2 linked regions of the Mus musculus genome follow. The protein of the gene in region 2 interacts with the protein of the main gene of each other region in a biochemical or structural test. Links are inferred from orthologs where the notes say so. Each region holds a gene or a part of one and is shown on either strand. Other genes may lie near its edges.

Region 1 (7,705 bases), on a different chromosome or scaffold from region 2:
TATATAGGAATATACATATTCATGATATATGCATATGACTAGCTATACATACATATATGCATATTACTTGCATATATGTATACACACATATACACACATGCACACTGGCAGTGCTGAAGTGAGACTGTAGGCTGTTAATTGTAGTGTTTAGAAAACAGAATTCTATTTCTTACCCTCTGGCAGTAGAAGTGAATTTAAGTCAGAAACCATTTGACAGCAGCTCTCTCAGAGTCTCCACCTACAGCATAGTGAGTCGAAGACCCTATGACCCTATCCTGAAGGCTTCCCTATTTTCTAGAAGAAGAAGCTACAGCAAGCCTGACGTGACAGAAAGCCAATACGAAGGGTATTCAGTATTCACATTGCTAAAATGTCAACATTGGGTGTTCATGCTAAGCTCACAAGGCTTTCTCAGTTCCATTAAGTTAGCAAGCCATCTCTCTTCATCCATTCCCTCAAATAACCTGAAGGTGGTGAGGCTGCAGCTGTGTGTGGTGTTCTCCCCTGGTGACGTTGCTCTGAACTGCTCAAGGAAGAGTAAAACAATCACCAGGAGATCATAACCATGTCTGTCACACATTCCTTTACTTAACGTTATAATCTCTCATCTGTTTTGAATATTCTGAATAATAATTCTTAACAAATAGAAAGAAAGCTCCTCTCATAAAATGTGGGTTGCTTGTGGAGGGTGGTTTTGACTCTAGCTCTGTGCTTCCGGGAGGTAACTGTAACATGCGATTTGGTTTCTTTATCCACCTACAGCATTATTGAAAGGGTCAGATATGGTGTGTAAGTGTCTATGAAGTACTAAAAAAATACCCAACCCTTACTTGACTTATCCCACTGTATCCTTTTGCAGCTACACTAATCTTAAGTCAGACAATTAAGAATAAATTAAACCCATTGGCATAATGACACAGGTTTGCCATGCTCACATTTAGGAGAATGGGTAAGGAGAATGGACAGTTTACAGGCAGAGGGGACCACTGTCCTAATTTGCTCTCTACTGATGTGATGATGACCTTGGTCAAAAGCAACCTGGAGAGGACAGGGTTTGTTTGGTTTCTACATTCTGTTGCCAGTGCATCGTTAAGGGAAGACAGGGAAGAGACTCAGGAAGACCAGAAACCCGGAGGCAGGAACTAAAGCAGAGATAAAGCAGGAGTGCTGCTTCCTAACTTGCTCCCCAGGCTTATTATCAGGTACCTCTCTTCTATCTCCCAGCACCATCTGCCTAGGGATGCTACTCCCCATGTTAACTATCAGTCAAGAAAATGCCCCACAGACCTGTCTACAAGCTAAGCTGATGAAGGTGTTTGTTTTACTCAGGTGAGGTTCCTGGATGTGCCTAGATTTGTGTGAAGTTGAGCCCCCCCAAAAAAACAAACAACAACAACAACAAAAAACAAACAAACATAAAACCAACAACAACAACAAAATCTTACCAGCACAACTATATAGTGGGGGTACAGGACAACCTAGGTTATACACCAAAATGCTGTCTCAAATAAACCAAACAGGAACAAAGTCCTAGTTAGTTTTTAATGCAACCTGTTACGAAGTGAGTTCCACAGTCCTGAGCCCCTGAATTTCAGATGTCAGAAAGGGAGAGAGAGTGAAATGCTGTACTTTTCTTCTTTTTTGCTCCTAAAGAAATTCGGAATCAAATATGACTAACCATGGCCTGTATACAGATTCTCATCTATCCCAAATAACACACTCTACTGTGGAAAAGGCCTATGGATATTTATATTCACAGAACAAAAAACTCCTAAGTCTTAACTTAAATGCATTGTGGGGGATATCAGGTAGATGGGCTACAGCAAGATAGGGAAAGTTCTTTTATCTTTTCCGGATGTTATAACATTCTTAGTGGAAGCTCATAGTCTTCTAACTTTAACTATACATTCCAATGGTTTACCTTATAGTCAGAAGATTGTTAGGCCAGAGTCATAGGTTGTTAATAAATGGCCATTAAGAGAACTAAAGCTAGCCCAAGATAAATTGACTATGTGTCTACAATATGTTTTATCCTTTCCCAGTTCTAGGTATTTGGTCAGTCCATAGAATTGCCAGCACAGATATAATTTCTTCAAGGAACTTTGAGTCACATATTCTCTGGGAAAGCCTTGGGAGTTCTGGGTGCCTGGGTTGGCTCAGGGCTCTAGAATTATCTGAGATATCAAATTGTACTCAGAATGTATAATCAGGAAATCCGGCCAGGGATAAAATCATGTGAGAACTCCTGAATCACTGAGAAGAGAAACAAGTTGGAGAATGAATAGCCTGGTTCAGAGTTCCATCAAAATCGATGCCAGGTGTATACCGAACCTTGGACAAGATGTGTGGGACAGGGGCGGGAGTGAGGTGGGGGAAGGGGATAAATTTACTTTTCCCACCTTTCTGAGTTATTAGTAACTCATCAAAACAATCCTTAACTTTATTTTGAGATAAAGAAGTAGAAAAATGAAGTTAAGAGTGATTCTGGGAAATTAAAGCCAGGTTCTGACAGGTAGAAACTGGTTACTTTGCCTTTTAACCCCTAGGTCTCAGCTTCTTTTCAAAGTCTGTAGTCTGTCGGAAAGTGTCTAAAGGTATTACTGTTTTTGTTTTGTTGTCTTATCATTGTGCAGAGGGTACACAGCTAGGTGGAATTTCAAATATGAGAGCATAATATTTCAGATTCCTTCATATTCCTCACTAGTACTGTGTGTTTATCGCATTCAGGAGCAGGTATTACCTGTCCACAAACTACCTTCAGGACCAGGAGGTCCTGGCCACAAAACCTCCCGTCTGACAAGGCTCAATGCAGGCTTTTCCCTGTTTCTCCCTCTGCTATCCGCCTCTGCGCTGTTTGGCAAAGAAAACGTCTTTCCTAAGGGGCATGTGTTCAGTGACTCCACTTTGGGATGTGTCACAGGCAGAAACACCTAGCCCGGGGACCTGCAGCTCTTTGAAGGGAGTGTGCTTGTCTTCTTCAAAGAGGCGTCTGTCTGCAAAGTGCCCGAACTTTCTGGAGACTACTACTGGGGGATTAGCATTGACTAACCATGTTTAGACTCTGAAACGGGGCAGAAAGCTGCAATGGCCTAGGTTTCCGGAGCCATCCCTATCTATTCAGCTGGGCCGCGGGCGCTGAGCCCACAGACCTACAAGCCCCAGCATGCCTCGGGAGGCGGGGCAAGTTGACGGGCAGGCGACTGTACGAATTGGCGACTGCCATGGGAAGGACGTGCTAGCGCATGCGCAGAAGGCAGCGGGCGGGTGGGCTGGCAGCGGTGGACTCGCGTCGGAGCTGCGGGCGGTCAGGTAGGGGGCGGGAAGGAGGGTCTGCGACCAGGGACTGTGGTGGGTCGCGGGGATCCAAGATTGAATGGCAGGATTTGGGGACTGGATCGGAGTGGCAGGATCGGATTCGGAAGGGACGGGCTCAGGAGCGATTCGGCGGAGATGAGATGCAGCTGGGGGAGGGGAGCAAAGGGGCTGAGGAAATTTGCAGTTGCAGCATGTCGGGAGGTATGAGGTAATGTGGGGGCCATGCGGAGAGACGGGGTGCAGCATGTGGGAGATGGGAGGATCTGACGTCCCTGGAGGTATCTGGGTGCAGAATATCAGAAAGCATAAAGGAATTTGGCAGGCCTGGATGAGGTTGGGTGTTGGCGGGCAGAATCTTAGGGGCTTTGAGGAGATCGGTGTAATGATAGCAAGATCTGAGATCAAAACAGCCAAGGTCTTGGAAGATCCTAATTGCTGAAGAGAAAGGGATTTCTGTAGCGGAATCTGGGAAAGACTGAGGGGTGAGTTCCCGAGGGAATCAGTACCCAGTTAGAAAATCGCAGCAAAGGTTTGAAGGCAACACGTGAGGCAGGACGGGGGCGGAGGTGGGGGGCGGGGGTTGGAGGTGGCCCAGTACAAGATGGGGATGATGGGCAGATGAGCGATCAGATTGAAGGAGGGCAGAAATCTGAGGTACAGGATTGGAGTTTGGAGATGGCATACAGGGGTGATAGATGTGGGAATTTGAAAATAGATTAAAGGATGTATTGGAGGGATGAGGGACACATAAGAGCTATTGGTGAATTGCAAGGCTGCAGCATACAGTCTAAAAGGTTGAATGATAGATTTGGGATTTAGCGTTGAGAATGAGGTTTGTGGAGAATGAATGGTGGGGAGTGAATGCTGTAACTAGATTATAGAATTCAAAACCAAATGAAATTTGTGAGTAGGTTCTTAGGAGGTTTTTGTTTGTTTTTGTTTTTGTTTTGGTCTTGGCATAACTGAACCCAGAGGGTCTTCTGGAGACCCAGGGACCTGAAAGTAATTTATAAATAAACTATGTATAAATGAATGGAATTTAGGAGAATGTAAGGGTTTGGGAATAAAGACACCAGTCTTCAGAAATCCTGAAGGAGAGTTTGACATTCTTTGAAGGGCAGATTCTTCCTCACTTACTAACTAAAGGCCCTTTAATCCTGAGGCAGGCATGTATTCTGACTATACCCACTCTGACCACCCCCACCTCCTCATCACAGACCCGATATTATAGGCCTTGGGGAAGAAGCAGTGAACTACCTAAGGGCTTCTGCTACCTAGCCTTTTCCCTGTCCAAGGTATGAGCCAAAATGATCTTCAACCTAATATTATCTTATAGGAGGTCCATTATAGCTCACAGAGACAATGGTTCTGGGTGAGAAACAAAACAAGGTTGGAACAAGGCGGAGCCTCCTGTCTACTGAGTATTTAGCCTGTGCCATTACCTAAAGCCAGGGTTCTCAGACAGGGTGCTTTTGTTCTGCCAGGAAACATTTGACCGTGTCTGGATGGAGGCATTGTCAGTTGTCATAGTTGAGGGGTTGTGTGTGTGTGGGGGGGGGGATACTTGGGGGGGGGGATACTGGTTTCTAGTGAACAACCCCTACAATAAACTATCATTTAGCTAGAAATGGCAGTCATGCCAAAATGGGTCCTGGCATCAGAGTCAAGAATGCTCTGGTTAGATCCTGGCATTATTTATTTATTTATTTGTTTATTTATTTATTTATTTATTTTTCTCTTTCTGCTTTGTAACCTTTAAAGAGTCAATTGACCTCTCAGTGCACAAGCTCTTCAGGGACCTACGTCATAGAATGGCTGTGAGGACTCAGTGTACTAAATCAGGGTGCTTACTGTTTGGTGCCCAGTAAAAGTGCTCAGAATTTACTACTTTTGAAAATATGTGTGCTTTCTTCTCATGATATTCCTTCTAAATATACATTCACTGTTCAGTGTTACCCACGAAACTAAGGCTTAGGAGGTCACTTGTCTAAAGCCACATTCCTGCCATGTAGCTCCCCGCCACATCCTCTCTTCCATTGCTGGTTTGCTGCGGTCGGCTTGGTCTTCCCTTTGCAGCCTCTCCTAAGGAAAGGGAGGCTTGCCCCGTAGTCAGAAGCTGGGTGACTTCTCTTGATTAAGAGAAGCCCTGGACTTTGTTCTTGCTTTGCTCTTAGACCAGAGCCAATGGGGAGATAGTGCAAGGAGCTTGGAGCTACACGGCTGAGATAAGGAGGGCTCAGGCTCAAGGGCAGTGCTAGACGGAAGGAAACTGCTCTGAATGTTCTCCTTTGTGCATCTTGTCTCTGGCACAGAAGGGCAGCATTGTCTTTATCAACTCCAATCCTAGCTACGCTACAGAAGGCAGTTTAGAGAACAAAATTAGACTGGAGCTGAGGGCAGAACACTTAGCTGCGATGACATCAACTCAGATCGCTTAGGAAAACACCTGACGGAGGTTGAGTTGGCCGTGGAATCGGCTGTTTTACTGCTTGCTTGGTGGTCAAGCACTTGCCAGCCTCTGTCTGAAAACACAGCGAGCTCGGCTGAGTGCTGATTAATGTGCATTCTCTCCATAAGGCCCACAATCTAAATGTTACTCCTGATTCTACAAGGCAGAAAGTGAAGAGCCACTTGTTAAATGACATATCCTGGGTTACAGAGCAAGTGGCTAATTTGGGCATATAAATCAGAAGTCACATGCTGGCAAGCCTCCTAGAGTGCACCCTCCTGTATGCAGATGGTGTTACCTTTGGGAGACTTCTTCCATTGTGCCTTTCTGATAGAAAGGTATGTTTTAAAAGTCATTCCTGGATGAATTTACCAACCTCTAAGCCAACTCTTACCTGCAGGTAAAAGTAGTCTTTTGGTCTGTGTTTTCGAGACAGGGTTTCTCTGTGTAGCCCTGGCTGCCCTGGACTCAATTCTTAGACCAGGCTGCCCTAGAACTCAGAAATCCACCTGCCTCTGCCTCCCAAGTGCTGGGATTCAAGGCGTGAGCCACCACTGCCCGGCACAGTAGTCTCCGCTTCTATAAAAGTACATGTTTTGGGTGAGCCCTTTTGTGGCCCAGTTCACAGATGAGCAACTGGGGGACAACTCTACTACATACCACGGTGGGAGAACATGAACAGGTTACTTGTTTCTTAATGATGTTTAGGATGTGGACTAACACTTCCTTCACACAGTTAAGAGAAGACATGCAGTGTGTAGAGGGTTCCTGGCACTCGTTACTCCAGATGGCCATTAGAAGACATGGTTTTAGCTATCAGCAGGCACCATAAGTGCCCTCAATCTGAAGTTCACACTTGTCTCCCCAGCCAGAACTAGGGTGAATAGTCAGTCTGTTAGTGAGTGGCCTTTGTGGCACCGAGTCAGGTTCACACTTGGTTCGAATTGAGTTAAAGTGCATAAGGAGTAAATGCAGCTTGAGTGCTGGCCTGAATAGGGGTGATAAGTCTCAACAACATCAAAACCCTACAGGCCATGTGAGAAGCAGAGTAATTGTAGAATGGTTCTTCATGTCAAGTTTTTAGATGATTTTTTTTTTCACATCTCTTTCTAAACGTTGTCTCCATCTCCATCCATCGTGGCAGGACTACACTAGTGGTAATTGCTTAGGAAAGATCTGCTTCGTTAATTGCTTAAGGTTCGACAGGTTTGCTTATGGCCTAACCCCCCCCCCCCCCAAGAAACAAAGAGGGGCGTGGGAAAGCTTGAGGTCAAATAGCAATCTTCCAGAAGGCCCTGAGTTTAGATTATTTCAATGTATGGCTGCTGCCTTAGGCATCTGCCTTCCGACAGGAGCCTGTTCATTTCATATCACAGGCTGGCCAATGGCTATGGCAAGCAGTAGCAATTGTAGTCACTGTTCCTGATAATTATAATAAAGGCTCTGTACACAGTTAGTTCTGTGCCTAGTTTGGTGCTGTCCAAAGTGCTTTTTGCTCAATCTCTTCTAATCTCTGCTAGTGAGAAAGCATCACCTTGAAAGGCTATTTCATACCTAAGTTGAGGTGTTAGGAAACCTTTCAAATCTCCACTGGAAGTGATAGAGCTGGAATCTAAAGCCGGAATGCCCAGGTCCTGCAAGTACTTTCTTAGTCCTTGTAGCACCGTTAGCTTCCAACCCATGCCCCTTTGCCTTAGGATGTGGGAGTTGCTAATTTCCCTCTCTTAGTCTCGGTTTCTTCATCAGTGTTACTCTGAGGTCATTGCTCACTCTACCTTTCCATACTTAGTCTCTGCTAGAAGGGGCTCCAGCAGTTGATGTGTTGATTGGAAGTGATGGGTTCATTCACTCATTGCTTCGTGGCCTGGGTGACCACATTCTCAACCCAATCCCTCCCAAGTTAACTATTCCTTTTAGTAATCTTTACGTGCCTTTGCTGTC
Region 2 (7,181 bases):
GGCCAAAAAGCAGCTAGTTCAAGAAATTTTAAGGTGTAGGGGTGTGTGTGTTTGGAGATGGAACTTCACTTTACCATCTTGCCAAGGCTGGCCTAGAAATTACAACCTTGTACCTCAAGCTGCCTTCAAACTCATAGTAACTCTCTTGCCTCGGCCTTCAAAGTCCTTAGATGGAAGGCATAAGAAGCCACTAAATCTGACATTCTTTGAGTCCTTTAGGACTGTGAATCAAATGAAAATAAAAGAATCATGTATGAGACCTCTATTTTTGTTTTAGGAAGAATGGGGTTGACATAGAAGTTTGAGATTTGAATGCATCTCATCAAGTAGACAAGTATATTTTAGTAGGCTTGAAAATGTGCTCAGAAGTAAATAGACACAGTACAGAAGAAAGTGGAAACTGTAAAATGTGAGGGGTCAGATTAAAAGCAGAGAATAGATCTATAGACACTGTAATGGGCTGTATCTTTTGGTCCTTTATTTCATAGAATGGAAATAGTGTATATTTCTCATTTTAGTTTTTATTAAAACTCATAGAAAGTAGTTTCAAATCTTTATATTAGTTAGCATGGTTGAATATTTATGTGCACATTGTAATGAACAAAGGAGAAAAGGACACTAGTAATTTGAAATTTTGTTTTCTAGCTGTTGACTTTCAAGAGTATGATACATTGTGTTAAGTTTAGAAGAAAAGTTTTCTTGGTTTTATGAAAGAATTTCAAGGTGCCAATTGAAAAGTAAACTCAGATATGTTTTGCCTCTTGAAGGTGCTTTAGTTATTTGAAATAGGTATTCATTCTGTGGGTGTGGGTGTGGGTGTGTGCATGTGATGACATGTGAATAGGACAACACTGAAGTCAGTTCTCCTGCCACCTTTTACATAGGTTTTAAGGACTGAGCTCAGGTTACCAGGCTTGTATGGAAATGGCATTTTAGCCATCTCTTTTTTTAAGGAATTATCTTGACATATTAAGCCTATTTTTCTCTTTACAGAATGACAGCCCATATCAAGGTGGTGTATTCTTTTTGACAATTCATTTTCCTACAGACTACCCCTTCAAACCACCTAAGGCAAGTATTATTGTCCTTCCAAAATCTGTTAGTTTATGGATTGTTTTAGAAGAATAAAATGTTCATGTAAATTTAGGTTTCTGAATAATTGAAGCTTAAGCCCTGTATTCATGGTGAATAAAAATAAGTAATACATAGAGAAATGAGCTGCATTTATGTAGATAACTCCTGTTAAAGACTATTCTGGAACTTTTTTCATCTAAGAGCTTTCATCTTCCAAGAGCTAAGTTTAGCAGTATACCACATACTTTACTCATGCCTAACTTCTAAGATTAGACAAAAGATTTTAACACTGTAATGTAGAAAAGATTTGCCTTTTTGAAGTTGCAAAGCTCAAGTATTTCCATGCTTAAGCTAAGTATTGGAGTCTAGTAAGTAAGCTGTAGAGTCAACTTGCCTTATGTTCTAGTTGCTTTTAATGCACTTAGGTGACTATAGTGTTAAAGGTTAAGTTGCTGGATCTATAACAACACCTTTAATCCTGGTATTCTGTAGGCTAAAGCAGAGTAATGAGTTCAGAGCGTATAGTCCTTGATTTTTTTTTTCTCTCAGAACTATTAGTTCAAATTCATGGTATGTGAATGACTAGAAAATAATGTGTATTAAATTATGGTGTTTTTCTAACCCTCTTTAGTCATGTTAAAAGTACAGTGTAGTAAGAAAGTCAAGTTCCTTTGGGTATAAAGCTTATACTCAGTTTGTTGTGTCAGCAGTGGGAATAGAATTTGAATATATGCCTGTATCCTACATTGAGGGTCCTAAGTTCCCTTTCACAGATTGCCTGCCTTCTGATAGTTAAGCTATACTACTAGAGTTAACCTTCAAAGCGAAGTTAATTACTTTTTCCGTGCTGAGGCTGATGTTAACTTTTTAAAACTAGCTTTTATTACCTAAAATTGATTTTGTTGAAATTTCCCATATATAAATATTTCCTTATATGGTTATGCGTGCTTTGATCACATTTTCCTGTCTCCTTATATTCTCTCATTACTATGATCACTGGTGAGACTTAGTATTTTAAGCCTTGCTTTTTAAAGTATACTTATTTTCATTTGCAAAAGCCATCTAAAGGTTGTGTCATGTGATTTGTTTTTTTTAGGTTGCATTTACAACAAGAATTTATCATCCAAATATTAACAGTAATGGCAGCATTTGTCTTGATATTCTAAGATCACAGTGGTCTCCTGCTTTAACTATTTCTAAAGGTAAAATGATAATTTCAATATAATAGTTTTCAGCTACTGTGACTTTATTATGCCAACATTTTAATTAAAAGTTGCTTGCGGGCTGGTGAGATGGCTCAGGGGGTAAGCACCCGACTGCTCTTCCAAAGGTCCGAAGTTCAAATCCCAGCAACCACATGGTGGCTCACAACCACCTGTAACAGAGATCTGATGCCCTCTTCTGGTGCGTCTGACTACAGCTACAGTGTACTTACATATAATAAATAAATAAATCTTTTAAAAAAAAAAAGTTGCTTGCAAGATTGGGGATGTATCTCAGTATAACATGCTTGCCTAGCATGCACAAAGCTCACTGTTCAATCTTCTCCCACTCACCCCCCACCCCACCCCCAGTGTTCTATAAATCAGGTGTGGCACATGCCTAAACAATGGCACTTTTGGGAATAGGGGCGGGAGGATCTGAAGTCAAGATCGTCCTTGGTTAATCTGAGTGAGTCTGAGGCTAGACTGAGATCTTTTAAAAAGGAAAAAAAAGTTAGTGGGTTTGGGTGTTTTGGGTTGATACTTCATCAGGGAAAATAAATTTTAAAGGGATTTTTGTCTAAAGTTAAAAATATGTTGGTAGGGCATTTTCCTAGTGAGTTTTTTTTTCACATAATGGCAGTTTATTTTTAGTGTAATATATCAGAAGCCAGAGGTATCTTCCTCTTGTATACTTTTATTTCACTTGGCTAGGTTCTGTCATTAAACTCCTCTTGTATACTTTTATTTCACTTGGCTAGGTTCTGTCATTAAACCAGAAGTTCTTAGTAACTCTCAGTGTCTGCCTGACTTTACCACCAATGCTAGGGTTCAAGCACGCACAGCTTTTCATGGGCGGCGGGGATTTGAACTCAGGTCTTTTTGTTTAGCCTGAGCTCTTACCTACTGAACTATTGCTTCAGCCTCCAAATTAATTTTAATAAACTTATTTTGGTGCTAAACTGTTTGTGGGTGGTAATGTGCGCGTGAATGCAGATGTTTTGGAGTCCAGAAGAGAATGCTAGATCACCAGGAGCTGTAGTTAAAGGACAGTTGTGAGGGGGCACCAAGAGTGGGAGTTGGGAAACTAAAACTGTCCTCTATACAAATAGTATGTGCCTATAACTGTTGGGCCATCTTTTTGGTGAGAATAGGAAAATATAGCCAGGCATGGTTTACAGCATTTACAGCTTTCTACTCTAATAAGCATCTGTGTAGATTTTCTGTATCTGATTTTGAACCTGTCTTTAGTTGGGTATTACTTAACTATGATAATCATTCTGTGTCTAATAAAATGTGGAATACTTAGGGAATTTGGGGAAAGATTGTTACGTAAAGACTGATCTTGTACTGTTAAGTCTAACACATTCTAGATCTCCAGGTATACCCCAGATGGAAAGTTCCTCCTGTCCTCTTTTGGATTCTGAATGACAAGTCTTTTTTTGACATTCTACTCTGCAAATTCAATTGTACGCAAAACATTTTAAGGATGAGATTGCCTTTTAGTAATTTATAGGCTTGGGTAATTAATGTTTTTATATTAGTCATGTTTTTAATGCTAGTAATTATAATCTTAGGGGTATTTGTGTTAACTATTATTTTCAGGCTCAATCCTGAAGTGTAACATTTTTAAAACTTGGAATAATTGTTAGCTTTTTACCAAAATGTTTTATGAGTTTGGTAAATACAGAGTGAAACAAGTATGTTCTGTTTACAGGCACGGCACCACACCACACTACACCACACAGGCATTTCTCCGTATGCTTGTTAAAATGTTTTTGAATCTTTACATGGATTTGGCTGCATTTTCCAATTACTCTTTTAAGAGCTTACAGTCTTGGGACTAATTTTTTAACCTCTTTGGATTTTTTTTTTTTTTTAATTCTCTTTTCATATGCTTCATAATCTAAATGCCAGGTTTCTGGGTTTTTTTGTTTTTTTCTCATTCCCTGCTGGAATGTACTTTTTGTTTGTTTGTTTTTCGAGACAGTGTTTCTCTGTGTAGCCCTGGCTGTCCTGGAACTCACTCTGTAGACCAGGCTGGCCTCAAACTCAGAAGTCCTCTGCCTCCCAAGTGCTGGGATTAAAGGCGTGTACCACCAATGCCTGGCATGATATACTCTTAATTCTGAATTGTATTTTTTACAAATGCAGACTGAATTGATGGGGATTTTGTTTTGTTCTTAAAATTAACTTGATTTTTTTGACAGATTTAAAAGCTTGCAAGTCAGATTTAGAAACACTGACCTGAGTTGTTATTATATTCTCCAATTTTACTTAGTCCCCTCATTTGAATTTGACACTGTGTTTGCAGCTTTGATAGTTACTTTGACTTTATGCTGTTTAACGATGTCATTTGCACAGTCTCTAGGGACAGTGGTTTTCACTTCTGATTCCAGGAAATAAAGCAGCTCTTGTAGTTTTTGTGAGAAACCTTTCCTAAGGTAGAACAAAGAATGAGCCTCTGGGTTTTCTTGTTTTTTCTATTTTTCCCCCCTTACTTGGTTTTGGTGGGGTTTTTTTGCCAAGCCTTGACTCTATTATACTACTAAGAGTTTTGTATCTCCTGAAAGTACCAAGAAAATCCTTAAATTCTGATGCCTCTCTTACATAGCCCCCCCCCCCTTTTTTTAAAGAACCAAACTAGTAGGATGTCGTGTGACGACCACCTTGCATGTGGCCTAATCATTACTGACTTTGGTGCCATCAGAGCTTTCATTTCTAATACTGTTAATTATAGAAACTTATTTTCTGTAGAACTCTGTGGAGATATTATAGAATAATAAAATTATGATGAGGTCTAGAGTACATTTTTAAATTTTATCATTTGCTTGTCCAGACACCTGAAATTGGATTTTTTTCCTTTTAGTTCTTTTATCCATTTGTTCACTGCTATGTGATCCAAACCCAGACGACCCCCTAGTGCCAGAGATTGCACGGATCTATAAAACAGACAGAGATAAGTAAGTATGCAATTGTTTAATGAATGACTATAAACAGTTTTATTTAGTGAGTTGAGCTTATTTCTGCTGAAATTTGTGACAGTACCTTTTTATGTTTGTTTCTCATAAGCTAGTTACTAAAACATAATTAAAAGCAGTAAGGACCAGCATAATGGCTTAGGCTGCAGCATTAGAAGTTTGAAGGTAGTCTAGGCTGCCTAGTGAGACCCTGCCAAATAAATATATGCTCATAGCATACATGACAGTGAGTAGCTCCCTTGAGATGTTTGTTTTCTAATGTGTTAAAGCCTTGCTTAATTATTCAGTTTGGGGAAATAAACCTGAGTTTGTTTTCCAAACATAAAGAAAAAAGACTAGTGTAAAATTTTTGGTCTAGAGCTGGAGAGATGATTCAGCGGTTAAGGGCACTGGCTGCTCTTCCAGAGGTCCTTCGTTCAATTCCCAGTAACCCCATGCTAGCTTACAACCATCTGTAATGGGATCTGATGCCTTCTTCTAGTGAATCTGAAGACAGCTACAGTGCACTACATATATATATATATATACTTTATATATATATAAAATAAACCTTTAAATTTTGGTCTAAATTTATCAACTATTTGATTTATCTTTATGTTCAGCTTAACCATTTAACTTTCATATGTTATAATTAATGCTAAGTGTGCTTATTCAATTAGGTACAATAGGTTAGCAAGAGAGTGGACAGAGAAATACGCTATGTTGTAGGGTAAGAGGATCTGTACTCTATGGTGCGCTTATTTATGGTACTGCCAGCAGTTGAGTGCTGCATGCTTTAAAGCACTGTATTAACTAACCAAAGATAACAGATATGGCAGTTTTCTGAAAACTACTTAACTGCTTGATCTCTGTTTTTTGAAAGTTATACTCTGTCTTCACTACTGCTTGGGATTCTTGCATGGCAAAGCAGTTATATAGCTTTAGTAAGAAGAAGTGTAAGAGTATCTTTATCCTTCATTAAGTTACCATGATGTTGAAATGTAAACATTTTGTGTCAGTACTATATGGAATGTGGTGGTTTTACTCGGGGGTTTTTACCAGGAAGATAGTAATAGAAATATAAAGGGAAGCACTTAAACCTCACAAACTTAAATGTTCATTACTGACTGACAAGCATGCATTAATGCTAGCTATATTTTGTGGCTCTTTTTATGCTAAACCAAAACACGTTTGTTTTAAAATGCTGGCTGTTTGAAGAGGGTTTTCTAAATGCCGTAATTCTGAATTGGTAGAGAGTTTTTTATATGTTGAGCTGTTTCAAATAGTTGAAGTCCATTACTTGGTTTGAGATGAAACTTAGTGGTATTATTTCTTCTAAAGGTTTTCCCCTGTTCTTTATTATGTACTCATTTCTTAAGGTATTGTCACTTTTTTTGGTTGGGGTAAGTTAGCCTGTATGATAGCGCACTATAATGAAGTGGGGGGGATGGAATGGTGTTTGTCAGTACTGGGTCTTCCTCAGTAGTCACCTGGGTCGCGGATGAGTTATCTATTGATCTTTTTTAACAAAAATGGGGTGTGCTCCTAGAGACTTCCTATTTTCAGCAGGTCTCAGTGAGGATTAGCAGCAATCACTGCTACTAAACTTTCATTTAAAAATTAATGCTTTTTTATCATTCTTTCTAATGTATTCTGCCTAGGTTTCAAAGGCATTTTTTCTCAATACCCAACAAACTTCTCAATCTCTAGGTTTCAGATTGAATTTTTCAGTTGCATAGTTCTAGCCTTCATTGGCCAGAATTTCTAATTTTCTATGCATATACATACTATTCTGACAATCATTAAACTGTACAGTAGGGTTTTTTAAATGTAAAAATGTGTCAGCATGGTATAACCAACTTGAAAGCTTGTTAGAATACTACCTTAGTGATGATGGAGAGAGGTCTTTGTTAAGCCTCCCAATCTGGGCACCACTTGTGTTTAT

What was found. The genes of interacting proteins can lie anywhere in the genome.
Region 1: the proteins of Ube2d3 (region 2) and Trim32 form a complex in vitro, tested with the Homo sapiens proteins (3 studies listed by BioGRID). The link is inferred for Mus musculus from reciprocal best matches to the Homo sapiens genes UBE2D3 and TRIM32.

The regions. Positions count from the first base shown.
Region 1 is NC_000070.6:65,601,761-65,609,465, forward strand, and holds the start of Trim32 (E3 ubiquitin-protein ligase TRIM32), read left to right. Parts: upstream 1-3,225; 5' UTR 3,226-3,309; exon of another isoform or gene 3,310-3,523; intron 3,524-3,555; exon of another isoform or gene 3,556-3,797; intron 3,798-7,705. UniProt on the Homo sapiens protein: E3 ubiquitin ligase that plays a role in various biological processes including neural stem cell differentiation, innate immunity, inflammatory resonse and autophagy.
Region 2 is NC_000069.6:135,457,805-135,464,985, forward strand, and holds part of Ube2d3 (ubiquitin-conjugating enzyme E2 D3), read left to right. Parts: intron 1-993; coding exon 994-1,071; intron 1,072-2,170; coding exon 2,171-2,276; intron 2,277-5,145; coding exon 5,146-5,239; intron 5,240-7,181. UniProt on the Homo sapiens protein: Accepts ubiquitin from the E1 complex and catalyzes its covalent attachment to other proteins. In vitro catalyzes 'Lys-11'-, as well as 'Lys-48'-linked polyubiquitination.